Drosophila melanogaster: one gene and its partners. The protein of the gene in region 2 purifies or fractionates together with the protein of the main gene of each other region. This does not show direct contact. Each region holds a gene or a part of one and is shown on either strand. Other genes may lie near its edges.

Region 1 (6,007 bases), on a different chromosome or scaffold from region 2:
GCGGCTTTATTAAATCAAGTCAGAACATCAAGAAATATGTGTCCCCAATGGCATCGCCCAGTAATATCAGCTACGAGCAGCAGCAACAGCGTAATCCTTTACATCACCAGCGACAACTAGATGCTATATCCCTTGCGCCCAGCTATGTTTCCGTCGATATGGAAGCTGCCCAGCATCAGCAGCAATATCGATGGCGTTCCCAGTCACACATAGCGCCCTTAACTCCTCCACAATTGGGCATAATAGAGGTGAAATCGCACTCCAGCGATATGCTGGCGGTGCCTATGCCACCCAGCCGCTATCCGCCGCACGATGAGATCTCACTGTCATCCTCGTCCACGACCATTGAGAAGAAGCCCAAGCCCAAGCAGTGGCTGGAATCTTCGCTAGATGGGCCAGCTGTTATCAGGCAGATGGATTCACAGCCCCACAGTCCAGCTGGGAGTAGTAATGGGAGTAGTAATCCCGGCGCAGCTGCCATGGTTTCAAGTAAACCCCGCGCTAAGCTCTCCTCGCAGTCCATGTCGGTAGCGGGTCGTCACTATTCCATGTCCAACCAGCGACCGACTCCGAATTATCCCAGTGCCAGCTATGCGGTGAATACCAGTTCGAAAGCCCTGCTAAGTCAATCGACTTCGTATCTCAATGCAATGGAGCAAACTTTGGGGATATCGGTATCGTATCCGCTGGAACCTCTGGACATACCAGCACTGCGAAACTTACCACCCAAGCCAAGTCAAATGCAGCAGCCAACGCCGCCGCCCAGACCGCCACCCGCAAATCAGGCTCATACTCAGAACCAGAACCTAAGTCACAGTGGTAATGGCAGTTCAAGCGGACTTGCTCATGGGAATGCTGTCCAAACAGCGCTTGTGTCACCGCCAGTAACAGTGGCCACAGCCAGTTTATCGCCGGAAATTCGCATCGAGTCGCCCAAAAACATGACCGTAGTTCAGCAGGCCACTTTCCAGCCGTACAAGGAAGTGACGAAACCCTTCGAGATGTCCGATTTCTACAAATACTCCACCAAGTTTAAGCAAAAGGAGGGCGGAAATCCTAATTGACCTATAAGGTTGTACGGAATTCTCATGCACTTTCACCTTTTAATGTGATTAACTAAACTAATTTTGTAGCACTGAGAAACTACAAAGCAAAAGCAGCTCAAACTATTGGACTCCTTTCGAATTTTAAGTTCGTTAGCCAAATTATTTAGGATCAAGAAAATAACAATGCTCAAAAGATCTGCCAAATTGAAAACTGACGTATTGAAAGCAATTTATCGAACGACATTCAAATTTTGTATTGAATTTTTAAAGTACAAAAAACACAGGACAATATTATCCCCGAGGGGGACAGAAATCGCCTTACAACAGGATGCCTAGAAAATATGGAAATATTTTATATAGTTAACAGCATTTATAAACAAATAACTGACTAGCTAACTAATAAGTGTATAAAGGATATTTACCCTAATCGAATGATATTTTTATATGAATATACCGATTGGATACTGATATATTCACCGAGTTTTCTTAAGACTAACTACCGACAAGCAATAACAAATAGATAAAAATAAATATTTTATATTAAAATATATGCGAGTGCGTTTTTATTGATATTTAAGCATTCAAATATTTCGTTGAACTTCCAATATTTTTCTCAAAACATTATTAATGCTCTTGTAGCATTTCAGATTTTTTGAATAATTGAAATGAAAAGAAAGCTTTATATTTCCCTAGCCTATAAATAAATGTCTCATTTATACCCATAAATGTGTTCTCACTTCCTTAAATCATTCCTTATCGAATATATCTTGTAGTTCCTTAATCTCTGGTTAAAACTTATTTATAGAACAACCGATAAAACTTAATTACTTTCCTCCCCTTTATCTCTCGGATTTCTCTTTGTTTCTCTCGCGATCTGGTAGTAGTACATTGAATTCTCTCTTTTGGACTCTCCCCAACTCAATGCCACTGCAACAAATTTTGTTTACGATTGATTATTTTTAAACAATCTCTTGTTGTGCTTCACTGAGCATTACAGTATCTGGATGGGGAGAAAAAGAGCGTGGATATCCCCCGATACCCCAAAAATATAAAGACTCTTCGCAATGGATTTGGTTCTCAGTTGCATCGCGCTCGCTATTACGTGCAACTGTTTCAGATCGGTTGCACTATTGGTTTTTTTTTGTTTTTAAGTTTCAAATTTGTCGGTTCTTTCTCCCTCGAGGAGCATTGAAAATCACATAATGATAAATTAAGAGTTCACGCTTTAAGTAGCTAGTTTCCCCCATTGTGTTGTCTTCGTGTTAAACTTTAAATTAAAAAAATATCAAATTTTACGTAAAGTCTCCAACCTAACCTACAAAATTATTCGGTTCGTTGCATTCGTCTGTGTTTGTAAGCAAGTCAACCCGAAAAAATTCTAAAATATAGTGTCATCAAAACCACTACGTAAAAACATCAACAAGAAAATGGATCGCATTTGGGCCACATCTAGAATGCCTATAGATATAGCCAACTGACAGGCGCAAGTGTCAACAAAGGCGGCCAAAAAACAGGGAATAGGCCATAAATTATTTGGTTCAAGTGCAGTCACCATGAATCTGTACACTATATACGATTGGGTAAGCCAAACAATCAGGGGTATCCATTAAAGTATTAACCCATTTGGGAGCCGAACATCCATCATCTGTGCTCTCGGATTGTGCATAAAATCCACAAAATGTGGGTTGAATGCGCCTTGATATGTGTGTTTTCAATTCATTACGATCCACAAACAGAACATGTTGTTTTTCAAGTGTGTTTACAAATGAAATCGAAATTGAATGCGCCTTTGAACTTTCGATTAGAAGACCACAAGGCCCTTCCGAAATCTGTAAACAATCTACAGTGAAAAATACCCAACGGATTAGGAATTTTAAATAATATTTTATTTTTTAAATAAGTATTATATTTTATATCATTGAATAGCATACTTTTTATTATTATAGAGCAACTTTTTAAGTGAAAATTATAATTGAATTGTCCACATTATGCGGTTTTAATTGCTTTGTTAAATAACTAATACATTTATTAGTGAATCTTGGCTACTGTTTCCCTGTTTATTATAAACATCAATATTCATATTTTTGAAAAAATGTCTCGCTACAATAACCGATTCGCTTATCGATTTTGTTGAGGAAAGAATGTTTCTGCAACTTGTTGCTGAATAAATCTAATACATGTACCGCAATACGATGAAAATTTTTGGATAATGTATACGAAAATGATCAAAAATTTTTAATATTCATCGAAATGATTAATGGCTCGAATTTCTTATATTAAATTGTTATTGTATACAAATTTTAAAATAAAATTTGAACTTCAAGTTTTTAAACTTAACTTAAAATGTTTTATGATGATTATAGAATAATTATAAATTACTAACTATAAAAAATGAAATATAACAGTTTTTGAGGGACATTAATTCTGATTATAATACTAATTCTAAGTACTTATATATATAGCTACTTCAGTATCAATCGCAATCGCGAATCGTAAAACAATAGTTCTAAATGCTTTTAAAACTACTCTTTTGCATTTATCACCATCTTCCAAACAAATTTATGTTCCACACACACATTTTGTTTATAAATAAAAAATGGGAGCGAACATTCGGTGCACGGAACCGCTTGGAACCGCGTTGCAAATTTCCGCGGCACTCGCTCTCAATCGCTCGGCCTCTCCCGTGGCTGCTCTTTTCCAACGCTTTTCTTTTGATTTTCCTCGGATTGAGTGACTGATTTCAATTGAATGTCTCTTCGGGCGTTTTATTTATAAAAGAACCTGCACTGCAGGCGGTCGCGTCGTCGTTTTTCGGTTTTCCGCACATTTATAGCTCTATAAAGATAAGAGTGCAGTGTCAGTGCCTGTGATCCCATAAAATTGTTTAAAAAAATCTACGAAACATTTGCATATACGTAGAAGTTTGCACAATGTAACCCTCAATAGCCATTGTCGATATATGGACTTTTTAAGTGATTGTAAATTGCATTTAATTGAGATAACTTCTTCATCGCTGAATTGAATCGAATGAGTGGCGGGCAGCGAAATGGGGAAATTGCATGTGAGTTCAGTTATTGTCCGCAATGTGATCTTTAGCATCGCCCAGTGACATTTGCATCACTCGCCAGCCAAAGTGTGTTAATATCATTCGAAACCGCATGATAATGAACCAAATTAGTGGATTTTTTTTGCATTGCAGTGTACTTAGAGAAAATTATACAGTATTTACCATATTTTCTATAAATTTAGTTACGATACGATCTCATTCTTAATTGTTCTTGAATATTATTTATTAGAATTACTATTTGAAAGAATAATGCTGTAAAAGATTTGGTTTGTAAATCAAATAAAATGCGGGTATAGGATATAAAGCAATTCATCATCTACTTCACAATCATATAAATTGTGTGTTCATATGTAAATTTTTATATAAAATATGAAAATGTTAAATGCAAGCGTTTAAGAATTTATATTAAACTAAACCCTTTAAATGAAATAACCTTTCTTCATAGCAACGCAAAAGAAAATCCTTTCTCCAATCCGAATTTATTTTTGTCCAACATATTTCACTGTCAATTCTGCGCCAGGCAAAGCTATTAATTTAATCATTTTCGCCAATATGCGTGCCATTATTGAGGGTTTATCGACAATATCTTGTGGAAAATCAAAGGAAAGGCGTCAGCGCCATTAACAGAGACGTTGGGCTAGGTCCTTCGCCCCTTTTCCCGTTCCAAAGGGGAGTGGCATTGTTGTTATTAGTCGCCGAAGTGCAAAAACCTCAGACGATCCAACTGAAATGTGTGTCACACCCAAACAACGGCCCACAAAAGAGGTCCAAACTATAGCAACAAATTGAAATGTTTGCAAGGAATGTAAAAGACTTTCGTTTTCGTTTTTCACGCACACTCAAAGAAAATCCGTTGTCATGGTTATAGGTGCAAACTTGTTATCCCGATATCCTTATCGCTGTGCTGGTACTTCCTGAATGTGTTGTTGTTGTCTTTGTCCTGACAAGTTCAAGGACGTTCAAACCACCATGTGGCCGGGAATTGGATAACTTTTTCACAAGCATTTTCCGCTAATATTGTGAAAACTTTGTCAAGCGTTACGGCCTGACCCACATGGCGTATGTGTAATATGGAAAATATATTTTTCAGTCGTTCAAAATACAGTACGGACTTGAATTGTATGTAAATTACAATTTAAACTTAATATAAATGGGAAATAACTCTTTTTTTTTTAAAGCAAATATTGCAATAAATATATTTTAAATAAAATTTAAAAAGTTTGCATATATGTAAGCCGACATTTACTGTATGATCTACGATATAAGTTGGAAAAGGCTTATTATTCAAACGTTGAATGCATCGCCTTGGCACATCGCTATATATGCATGCGATCTAATTAGATTTCCATCTGTGAAAAATGTAATTGGAAAATGCTTAAATATTTCCTCACTCGATTGGGGAACGGATGCATGTGTGGCACACGTTTCAAACACCTTCAGACATATAGATCACTCGAGTGGACAGAGACGTCTTTCTTAATTAATGTGGGCAAGTCCAAAAATAAATAATCCAAACATATGCAACTCCTCCGCGAAGGGAACTTTATTACCAAACATAAAGATGCCTCGAATGCTTCTAATTATAATTTAAATGGGAAACCGACAACCGACACAGCTGCAATCCATCAAGGAATGGATGTGGGCAGCAGTAGCGTCTTGCTTGCCCTCTCCAAAAGATAGCCACCAATCCACAGAACCACACTTGAGATGCAGGTCAATTTGAAATTGGATGTGCTGGCCTATCATTGCCCACATTTCCAATCGCATTTGTTTACGCAATAAAATCGCTTTTTAATACCTTTCGACCAAGTTTAGTGGGCCGCCACGATTGCGAACCTCGAAAAGAATCCTCACAATGCGTTTCAGACGTTGACAACTGGGTGACATCATTAAA
Region 2 (5,183 bases):
TTCCACATTTTGCGAGCCACACTTGTTACAAGTGAACCACAGCGACTGCGGGAAAACATATGTGAGCATGCGAATACAGGTTACGGCGTTTGGTCTACGGCTATAACGGGTATTAGTTCCCTTACCTCGACCGTATAACTGGCGATCTGTTCGTTCGTCGTTCGCATATATACAGCAGGCAGTCTGAAGTTTACCAAATTTCTGATTTCTTTGTTTATAATTTTGGGGACCTGTTTGATAACCACACAAAGCTTCGAAGTCTCGATAACGATAGTTGTCCCCAACCAACCCTAGACCCTAACAGTAATCTTTTGGCGGGATGATTTAAAAACGCAAATGGTGTTTATGATTGTATTGATTGATTGACTCGTCGTATCTAGTTGCACACAAGAAATATGATTATTTAAGTATTGCATAAATATCGAAACAATCTTAGACTACGAATAACAAATATACTGTTGATGTTGGTCTTAAAAGTACACGGCTATAGGACAAATTAAAAGTCGTCGTCGTTGGCTTAACTAAAAGATTCTGCGCGCGGAACAATGAAAAACAAAATTCGGCTATTACATTATTAAGTGGAGTACACGTGGACTGGCAAACATCGTTGCTGCATTGCACTTGCTTAAAATCTTCTATTGCCGCCCATATTTGGCCCGGGTCTGGGCCCGTTGAAGCTGGAAATGGCGATGATTGGGGTTAGTGGTTTTTATGCAGACGATATGAATGAACCTACCGGTTTCTTTGGCCTGGACCTCCGCCGCCACTGCCCAAGGGCGGGAACTCCGAGTGATATGCATTTATGCCATTCTGATTGTGATTTCTACCTCCTGAACCTCCGCGTTTGCTTGGGCCTCCTTGGGGACTGCTTGTCTCGTGACTGCTATCGCGTCTGTCATTGAATCCGCCTCCTCCTCCATTGAAAAATCCACGTCCTCCCGGTGGATTTCCTCTATATGGCAAAACAAGATATTATATATAATTTAGAACCCAATCTTATGCACAACTTACCCATTAGTCCCACGATTGCCAGAGTTCATTGGTCCATTGCCAAAGCGTCCGAAGCCCATTTGCTGCTGCTGATGCTCTACAGGCAGGGCAAATCCACGTCGATCCTGTCGCACATGGCTTGGACCTGGGCCGCCGCCGCCGGCCCTCTGATTTACGGATCCTCCTCCCCCGCTGCTGGAGCTGCCTCCCTGAAAGTCACTATTATTGCCTCCTCCCCTATATCCGCTGGTTGGACTGTTCTTAAAGTTTCTTCTGCCAGGCTGTGGTCCACTGTTGTCCCGCTGCTGAAACCGATTGCTGCCGAAGCGTCCCTCGTTGCCCGCGCTTCCACCGAACTTGCCTCCGCCTGCAAATTTGTTCCTAAAGCCCTGTCCCTGATTGGAAGACTCATTGTTCGGTGGTCCTTTCGAGTATGGAGCACTGCGCTGTTGTCTGTAGTTGGACTCGTTTCTCACGGGACCAAATTTGGCGGCCGAGGAGTTCGAGCTCCTTGGGCCTTCGTTGGAGAATCTGCCACCGACTTCCTCACGAAAGTTGCGCTTGAAGTTGGTATTGGATTCATGAGGTCTCTTGTCCGCCCCGCCACCTTGAACTGAGGATGATGAAATACTTAGATGCTGGATCTTTGGAGTGATCAAAGCTTACCCTGCGAGGGCCTGCGCCCCGGATTGTCCCCAGAGCCCGGCTGACCTCGACTGCCACCTCCCGGGCCGTACTTTGGCCTGCCCGCCTCCACCACAATGGGCTGGCCCTTGAAGATGGTGCCATTCAGCGCTGCGATGGCCGCCTCCGCCATGTCCGTGTTCTCCAGATGGACGAAGGCGCAGCGATTCATCACGTCGCACTCAACGACCGATCCATAGTTGGTGAACAGTCGACGCAGCTCCTCCGGCTTGCAGCGCGGCAGGCTGCCGACGAACACCTTGGCGGTCTGCAGGATAAAGCTAGCATTACTCCGGATTACTATGGACAATCCGGCGGCGCTGCCTCTTTCTTACGTACAGTATTCATGTATTTATTTTTCTCTACAACTTTTCGCTGTTTTTTTCTTTTATTGAAATGGAGATGGACAACTGTGCACCTGACCGGCAGTGTGACCAGCGATGGCTACTTCCACGGCCATATCGGTAGCTATCGACATCGATAGACCCAAGCCATCACTTTTGTTTACCAATTTTAAAATTTTAAAAATTAAGGTTTCTCACGAGCCTGATCTATCATGTGGCCTCCAGGGAGCGAGGATAGCTACTCCGCCAAAATGGACTATGGCAAGAGCGTGGTGAACATCCTGCCCAGCGTAGAGATGCTGGTGAACTTTAATGGCGAAATGACGCGGTCTAGCAAACGGTCATGTCTACTGTACGCGGAGAGAGTGGACTTCAAGGAGCTGCTGGTAAATATGCTTGTCAAGACCTCCTCCGATCAAATTTCAATACATCCTCTGCCCCACAGCAACTCCGATTAACGGAGAAGTCCGATCAACGGCGCATGTACATCACCACAGTGGACAGCGCCTCCTTTCAGGATCTTAAACAGGATCAGTCGCTGAATGTGTCATTCTCTGGGTTCATTGACAATGTAGTGCGCATGCTGAAGGACTGCCAGTCGGGTAAACTGGAGCTGCACCTGACCACACGGGATCAGAACCTTTCATCCGGCAGGGAGGTCCACGACTATTATCTTCAGTTTGTTGAAATTCGGTCCTTTAAGAACCTAGTTCACCTTAGCCTGCCTTGTCGTTCTGCTCCCTTGAACACCGTACTCTTCTACATAAACAGCATGCTGGAAGCCTCCCACAAAAAGCAATATATTCTCGAGCAAAGTATGCAGCAAATGCAGGCTGAAATCAACGCACAACGCGCGCATGCGGAAAGGTTGACCACGGAAAACACAAATATCAGGGAAGCTTTGGCCGAAAATACTCGCATCTTAGAGGAAAAGCATGCTGCCGAGGTCCATCAATACCAGGAAAAACTGTCCAAAATAAACGAGCAGCGCAGCAATGAGCTGGAGAGAAATCGTAGAGCGATCTCCGGCTTTCAGGCCCAATTGGACAAGGCTTCGTTGGAGAAAGCAGAACTAAAGTCGGCCCAAGAGCAGGCCGAGAAACGATGTCAAACCCTGTCCGAGGAGTTGTCCTGTTGCAAAGCCAGAGTGTGCACCCTAAAAGAGCAAAATGACAAACTGCACGGGGATGTGGCCAATATCAGGAAGCATGAACGCAAGTTGGAGTACAAAATCGAGGACCTCAAGCAGCACACTGTCGAGCTGCAGGAACATATTCAAAAGGGAAACAAAGAGAAGGTATGTGTATAAAAAGAATAATGCACATCAGAAGAGTATATCCCTTTTAATTTTGCAGGCCAACATAGCCGCTGAACTGGAGGCCGAGAAGAAGATCCTGCACACCAAGCGCCAGGCTTTGGAAATGGCCTCCGAGGAGATCTCCAAGGCCAACCAGATAATCGTTAAACAAAGCCAGGAGCTGCTCAACCTCAAAAAGACCATTGCCTGGCGCACAGAGGTGGCTCTGCAGCAAGAGAAGGCGGTTCAGGCCAAGGAGAGCCTACTATCCCTGCGGGAGAATGAGCTGCGCGAGGCTCGAATAACTATTGAAAAACTGAGGGAGGAAATCCCCCAGCAACTGCAATCCATGCGTAACTTTGCCCAGGGACTGGAGCAGAAGTATTCCAAACGTAAGCTGAGACCCCAATCTTTAAGTGTACCTACTTACAACTTGCTCTTTTCAGAAATCCTCATTCTAAAAGAACGGCTTGCAATACCCACGGGCAAAGAAAATCGGCGATAGTTTTACTTATTGTTAATGCATTTTTTCGTTTTTTGTACCAGTTTAGTAAAGTTAGTTGTATTATTCAGCTCTAGTCATAATCCTCCTGAACACTTTCACCTGCATGAGCCGTGGCCACATTCACCGCTTGGCTGATATCCTCCATTTGGTTCAGTTTCAGTCGCTCACGGATGAGTTCAGCAATAGCTTTCTGGGTACGTCGTTCCAGTCGCTCCAACTTTTTGCTGGCATCCCGCTTCAGATCCCAGTCGGGTTTTCGGGGAGCCAGGTTGGTTATGTCAATCTCATCTATCACCATGGGCTGCTGGAGCAGACTCAATTGATCCTCCACAGCTGATTCTATGTTGCCCGTGGGTTCCTGTGCTAGAATCTCGCCATCGGTGGTCTCATTCTGGGGCTTGTAGCTGCGGAAAACTGGTCTGCAAAGATATATGAAACTGGTTTATAGGGATTCATAATAGCATTTCATTGTATTGCTGACTTGGGTAACTTTTCAATGGACTCGGCAGCGTCTCCTCCTTTGTTTTGCACTTGTTCCCGGAGTTTTTGCAGACGCTCCTTGCGTTTTAGAGATTCTTGTGTCAGCTTGCCGACGCCATTGTTGTCCATCATGCCCATGTGAAGTTTGTTCTCAAGATAATACAATTAATTTAAATTTGAGTCTGGGGTCTTTACGTTTATTTATTATTGTTATGTTTCTTGTTCTTCCCATACATATATCGTATATCGATTACAATCGCGTTCGTTACCAGCTTGGAATTATGCAGGTATGAACTATTATTTTACAACAAGATATTTGTTGTTATACAAGATTCGATTTTATTTTATTTATTACAATTTAAGATTAAGGAGGCGTATCAAGATATTAAAAATACATAATTACTTTAGTGACGAAAGCAACCACATTCCACAACGAATACGGTCTGATCGAAACAACCGATGAATCGATAGCGGCCAAGATGGATACACAGCGTTTGTTTTTGCGCAAGGGGGTGGAAATCGGAAATCTGCTGTACTTTCGTGCATTTTAAACAAACCAAATAGGCATTATAGCCGATGGAAGTGGACCCAGCATCCTTCCAGCTCCTCTAGGCACCCGTTCCAGGGCCCGGCGGCTAGTCCGTCCCTGCCAATTGGCGCAGCGACATCGGCAGAGCGCAACCAGCTGCTGTTTGGAGTAGCAAAAATAAACCAGAGCACAGCTCCCGCTCCCGCTCCCGAGCACAGAGACTATCCCGATCCGCATCGAGGTAACTTCTGTGGTCTATTAATATTAGTGGCCGGCTAACCAGTGCGCGATCCCTTCCCCGACAGAAAGGGAGAACCGACAGCCCATTGTTCTGACACCGATTCTAGATTGCCC
Region 3 (5,006 bases), on a different chromosome or scaffold from region 2:
GCTGAAGAATCTTTTTCTTTGTCTTAAAAGTAAATAAATTTGCGCAGCTGAAACTGTTTTGTTTTAGCGAAATAAGTATGTATACTTTAAGATGGCTATCTATTTTCTTAGAATTAGATTTTACTTGGTAACTGCCTAGTTCCTTATCAAAAGATTAAGATTTAAATATCCCACATATATGTTGCTAAACTTATCTTTTAAATGGTGACTACTCATTTATCCAAAGAAACAACAATGACGACATTGAATCGGGCATAAAGCGGCAGAATGAGGTGCTAGTGCCCCGGCAGCACTTTGTTTGGGTTATTTTGGGAGCCCGCAATATATGATGGGCGGTGGTGAAGTGAGGGATTCGGAGTGGGGACAGGTAATGAGGAAGCCGAAACAGGTTTGCACAGACTTAGCCGTGCGGTGAGGTAAATTGTTAGTCAGCATCAGCCCCGACCGCGTACCCACATTATGGACAAATTGTTTGCTCATATTCGCCGCTATTGAAAGTGGGCACGTACATACGTACGTATGGCTCGAGGGACCAGCTTTAACCGAAGACAGGTAGTCAGGGTCATGTTTGTGTGCGACGATGATGATGATGATAATAATAATGTAATGATGATGATGCCGACGATCGTGCTGATAAGGTCACCACCGGGTGCACCTCCCCATATCTCCTCTATGAATCCACAGATCATCATGATGCAACGCTGTTTGCGTCTCCAAAAGCCGCTGGCCCTACGACGAGGCCTTCGCTTGGCCCAGGCTAATAGCCAAGCGGTGGCCACAGAAGCACCCGAGGCGGAACCTCTGGATGCCTTCGAGCGTCAGTACCTCAAGGAGCGAATCGAGATATCGCCCTTCCAGCGGCTGTTCCTGGGGGCAGGATCCTCCATTGCCGCGCTCTTGAATCCAAGACGGTAGGGCATCTGATGAAATTTAAAAATCTCTTAAAACTCTTAATTATTATTATGAAGTCATGACATGATCGCCTGTTTGGGTGAGACGACTGGAGAGGATGCTCTATGGACAATTTTGGACACCATGCAAGCCAGCGAGGAGGGTCAGCGCATCATGGCTGATAAGCCCCGCATCCACACCAGCACCATTGACTTCAAGTATCTGGAAACTTTGCCACCGGATACCTTTGGAGCCGCTTACGTAAAGTTTCTGAAAGATAATGTAAGTAGTTCAAAGAATCCGGTAAGAAAAAGCGTTAGTAACCATAAAACGACGAAAATCTGGTTCAAAGACATTCCTAAGAGAATTTGGACAGTGAATGTCATGGTCGAATTTGAAGTTGGTAACAATTGAAAATCTTAAAAATTATTGTCTCATAAACATACTTGCATATAAAAGATATATTTAGATGGAAAATAAAATAATAATTGCTTTTGTCCATCGCTTCAACGATTATTTTGGTAATCAATTTTCAGCAAGTCACGCCGGACAGTCGCATGGCCGTGCGGTTTTTGGAGGACCCGAAGTTGGCCTACTTGATGACGCGATATCGCGAATGCCACGACCTAATCCACACGGTGCTGGACATGCCCACCAATATGCTGGGCGAGGTGGCTGTCAAGTGGGTGGAGGCTCTGAACACGGGCCTGCCCATGTGCTACGGTGGTGCGGTATTCGGAGCAGTTCGCCTACGTCCCAAGTGAGTTCAGTGAACTGGGTTCTCTAATTATAGCTCCCCATTCACGCGTTTGTTTATTTTCTCCTCCACTTAGGCAGCGGCGTGCGTACTTGAAGCATTACTTGCCGTGGGCCCTGGAGAACGGCAAGCGGACCAAGCCCTTGATGCCCGTCTACTGGGAGAAGCGCTGGGAGCAGAACATCCACGAGCTGCGCTCCGAATTGGGCATTACTGTGCTGAATAAAGCTTGATAAGGCTGTTTATTTTTAAGCCCATTTTTAAATTTTGAACTTATCGACTATTAGTATCGAGCAGTCCTATCGCGATCGTAGAATTGTGATCTGGCAACGTCGTGTAACGTCGAACTGATTGTAGATGTTTCCACTTACAAAGAAAATTATTATTTGATTATAGCAATAAATATAAAAGTTGATGCAGTTTGCCGAAATAATTTAAAGATCGAGAAAAAAACTTTATATTATTTTTTATATTAGAATTTGAGCACAGTGAGAACAGTCAATTTCCGCGAATGATCGCATCAAAACTTAACCCGATGTGGCAACTCCACTCGTTCTGTTTGCATTTGCTGATGTGTTGTTTTGTTTTTTTCGGTCGATCGTCTTAATGGCTAATTATCCCTAAGTTAAACACCATGACTGAGAAATTCAATGGTTTTAGCCACGACGAGATCCTCAAGATAACGGGCGTGAAGGAGGGCGGTGTGGGCAAAAGGCCTGCGAGTCTGGAAGCAGGTTAGATCACTAAGCATGAACCCCAAAGCGTGTAAACAATTATCTGTTTATAATAAAAACCTTTGCCTATGTGTGCGTGAGCAGCGAAGCCGGCGCTCCGAATTCAACCCGGCATTCGGCGTATGCCCGATAAGATCTTCCGGCAAGCGGATCAGTTACGGAAGCAGCAGCAGCAGCAACCACAGCAACCCATACAAAAACCGGATGTGGCGAAGAAGACCAAATCGGGAACAGCGACTCCCACGGAAAAGCCACCGACTCCCACTCCCGCGGCGGAGGATGACGTAGCGAACGGATCGCTAAATTTGGACCGCCCACTCTCCGATTCATTAATAGAGGCACTCTACCATGGAAATGCTACAGCTAGAGATAAGAAAACTCCCGCCACGTATGCAGATGCTGAAACAACGTCCACCGACGACAGTTCGATTCTGAAGATCAGCGGCGGTGACAGCCAGACAACTAGCTCCACCGATGATGGCAGCATCCTGCCGAGTACCCAGGACACCTCGCCGCGGGAGCGCCTCAACACAGACTCACCTTTCAAGGGCATCTCGCTGAAGGACTTCGAACAGCATCGCCGCATGATCGAGGAGCAGAACAAGCAGAAGAAGCAAATGCTGTACCAGGCCATCGAGCAGCACACCCAGAAGACGGCGGCGGAGTCGCGAAAGATCGAGGAGATCCGCCACGAGCTGTCCAAGCTGGAAAGTGATCTGGCCGTGGACGTAGCTCTGCTGAGGAAGCAGATCGACAATGCCTGCATACATTTTGCCAATGTAGAGTAAGTGGCGAAGCCAAATACTTGTGTGTTTCCCTTATTAATATTTATGTTACACAGAAAACAATACGTCAAAATCGAGGCTCAGTTCTTGCGGGCCAAGATAGAGCTGCACAATGCATCCGAAAAGAAGGAGCTGCTCACAGAGCATCTATGCACAGTAATTGCCCACAACGAGGACCGTAAAGCGCAAAAGCTTACTGAATTGATGCAGAAAGTGGGTCTGTCGCCAACCGATGATTGCCAACCGATTGATTTAACTCAACAAAGCCCCTAAACACGTAACACGTGTAAATTCAACTTCAAATCATCTTTAATTCGAATTTTCAGCGGTGTTTGCTTAACTTGACCAAAAGTATCAATTTGTTGCTCCCTGAAATATTATATTTTTTAAATTGGAAAATTATGTACTAATTTTCCATCGGCTATATTGTATTGGAATTGTAAACATAAAACACGCCTGAAATATGTCGAATGCGCTCTAATATTAGCATGTAATTAATGTTCATAGCCTAAGTGATGAAGTGCAAATTGCAAATAAAATATGTATATGTTATGTGTAAAATTAAAGTGTAATTACTGAAACTGAGTAGTTGGAACTGCGACCTAAATAAAAATAAGGGTATTAAAAAGCGAACATTCTTCAATAATGTTATTGTTTGGCTTTGACTATGTGGCAACACCGTTAGCTGCGGCAACAGCTGATCGTTTTCAGAGTTTAATAAACGTGCAAGCTGAACAATACAATCGGAAATAAGTGTTTCTAAACAGAATACAATAAATTAAGCATTTATAATGGCAGGCCGCGGAAGGGGCGGCAAGACAGGCACCCTCACGGCGGAGCAAATGGCCATGTTGGGATGCACAAAGGATATGCCGGTGCAGACGGCGCCGCCACCTACATTTCCGCCTGTTTTGAACAGACCCACTACCCTAGAAGTGGGTACAAATCCATTTACATTAGTTTAAAAAACATCGATCAACTTTTTACCTGTTTTACTTCGATAGACAACAGCCACACAGAACTATCAGCTCCTGTGGAAGGAGGACTTTCTGAACCGAATGCGAGATTCCCCCTATTACATGATCTCCGCCAGTCGGGACGCAAAAAACCTTGATCACAAGGACTGGCGAGAAGTAATAATACTGGCTATTTTAAATTAGCTGCTTATAATCCTGCTTTTACACCCCCAGAAAGCCATGGAGCGCATGAAGCTCACAGCACAACCCGATTTTAACTACAAAGCCATGCCCCAAGAGCTAAACATCTCCAGTCGAAAACGTCGTGGAGCAGATGCAAGGCCGAATCTGCTGACCAAGAAGACAAACATCGAGGACAGACTGAAGGTTCTGGAGCAGAAAGAACTGAAATCAGGTGGCGGTGAGCAGGACGAGAACAAACAAGAGTCCGATTCCGAACAGGAGGAGGAGGAAGATCCGGAGGCGGCGTTGGATGATGAGATGGACGAGGACAACGACTACGGTGCAACGTACTTTGATAATGGAGAAGCCTTCAATGATGAGGACGACAACTTGGACGATGGTCCCGTTTACTGAGACAAATAAAACCATCGAACTGATTACTTTCGGATCTGTGATTTACTATGTCGCCACTTTAAGCTTATTTAACACAAATGTTGGATTAATTTACACGTAAGGGAACGCTGGCTTAGTCCAGGCTCTTGGGCGCGTAGTAGTTGAAGTGGATGATACCAGAAGATTTCACCTGCAAAGCGTATTTCAATAAGACCGATATGGGATGGAAGGAATATGGCAGCCACTTACGAATCCAATAGTGCCGGCCAGGACGAGAATGCCAGTGATGAGCGCGGCATTGTACTTG

Evidence for each region. Proteins that work in one complex are often made in the same cells at the same time.
Region 1: the proteins of Sas-6 (region 2) and Plp purify together in Drosophila melanogaster (affinity purification with western blotting, with the first as the bait; one study listed by BioGRID). This does not show direct contact.
Region 3: the proteins of Sas-6 (region 2) and Gorab purify together in Drosophila melanogaster (affinity purification with western blotting; one study listed by BioGRID). This does not show direct contact.

The regions. Positions count from the first base shown.
Region 1 is NT_037436.4:15,086,411-15,092,417, reverse strand, and holds the start of Plp (Pericentrin-like protein), read left to right. Parts: upstream 1-2,224; 5' UTR 2,225-2,599; coding exon 2,600-2,626; intron 2,627-3,864; exon of another isoform or gene 3,865-4,092; coding exon of another isoform or gene 4,093-4,107; intron 4,108-6,007. Other genes in the region: sstn (stepping stone), read left to right, coding at 1-1,064.
Region 2 is NT_033777.3:29,993,137-29,998,319, forward strand, and holds Sas-6 (spindle assembly abnormal 6), read left to right. Parts: upstream 1-2,220; 5' UTR 2,221-2,230; coding exon 2,231-2,404; intron 2,405-2,463; coding exon 2,464-3,315; intron 3,316-3,373; coding exon 3,374-3,707; intron 3,708-3,761; coding exon 3,762-3,820; 3' UTR 3,821-3,890; downstream 3,891-5,183. Other genes in the region: Acph-1 (acid phosphatase 1), read right to left, coding at 1-59; CG7903 (uncharacterized protein), read right to left, coding at 626-677, 737-952, 1,012-1,603, 1,657-1,942, 2,014-2,022; CG15525 (uncharacterized protein), read right to left, coding at 3,891-4,239, 4,302-4,438. UniProt on the Drosophila melanogaster protein: Central scaffolding component of the centrioles ensuring their 9-fold symmetry. Required for centrosome biogenesis and duplication. In ciliated neurons, required for centriole assembly but not necessary for cilium basal body and cilia function.
Region 3 is NT_037436.4:17,426,022-17,431,027, reverse strand, and holds Gorab (Golgin, RAB6 interacting), read left to right. Parts: upstream 1-2,191; 5' UTR 2,192-2,282; coding exon 2,283-2,382; intron 2,383-2,466; coding exon 2,467-3,166; intron 3,167-3,223; coding exon 3,224-3,440; 3' UTR 3,441-3,723; downstream 3,724-5,006. Other genes in the region: Coq4 (coenzyme Q4), read left to right, coding at 691-911, 969-1,173, 1,428-1,651, 1,725-1,881; Polr3G (RNA polymerase III subunit G), read left to right, coding at 3,959-4,102, 4,172-4,300, 4,358-4,720; COX7B (cytochrome c oxidase subunit 7B), read right to left, coding at 4,833-4,889, 4,949-5,006. UniProt on the Drosophila melanogaster protein: Required for centriole duplication likely through its interaction with Sas-6. During embryogenesis, maternally provided protein is required for centrosome duplication and nuclear division cycles of the syncytial embryos.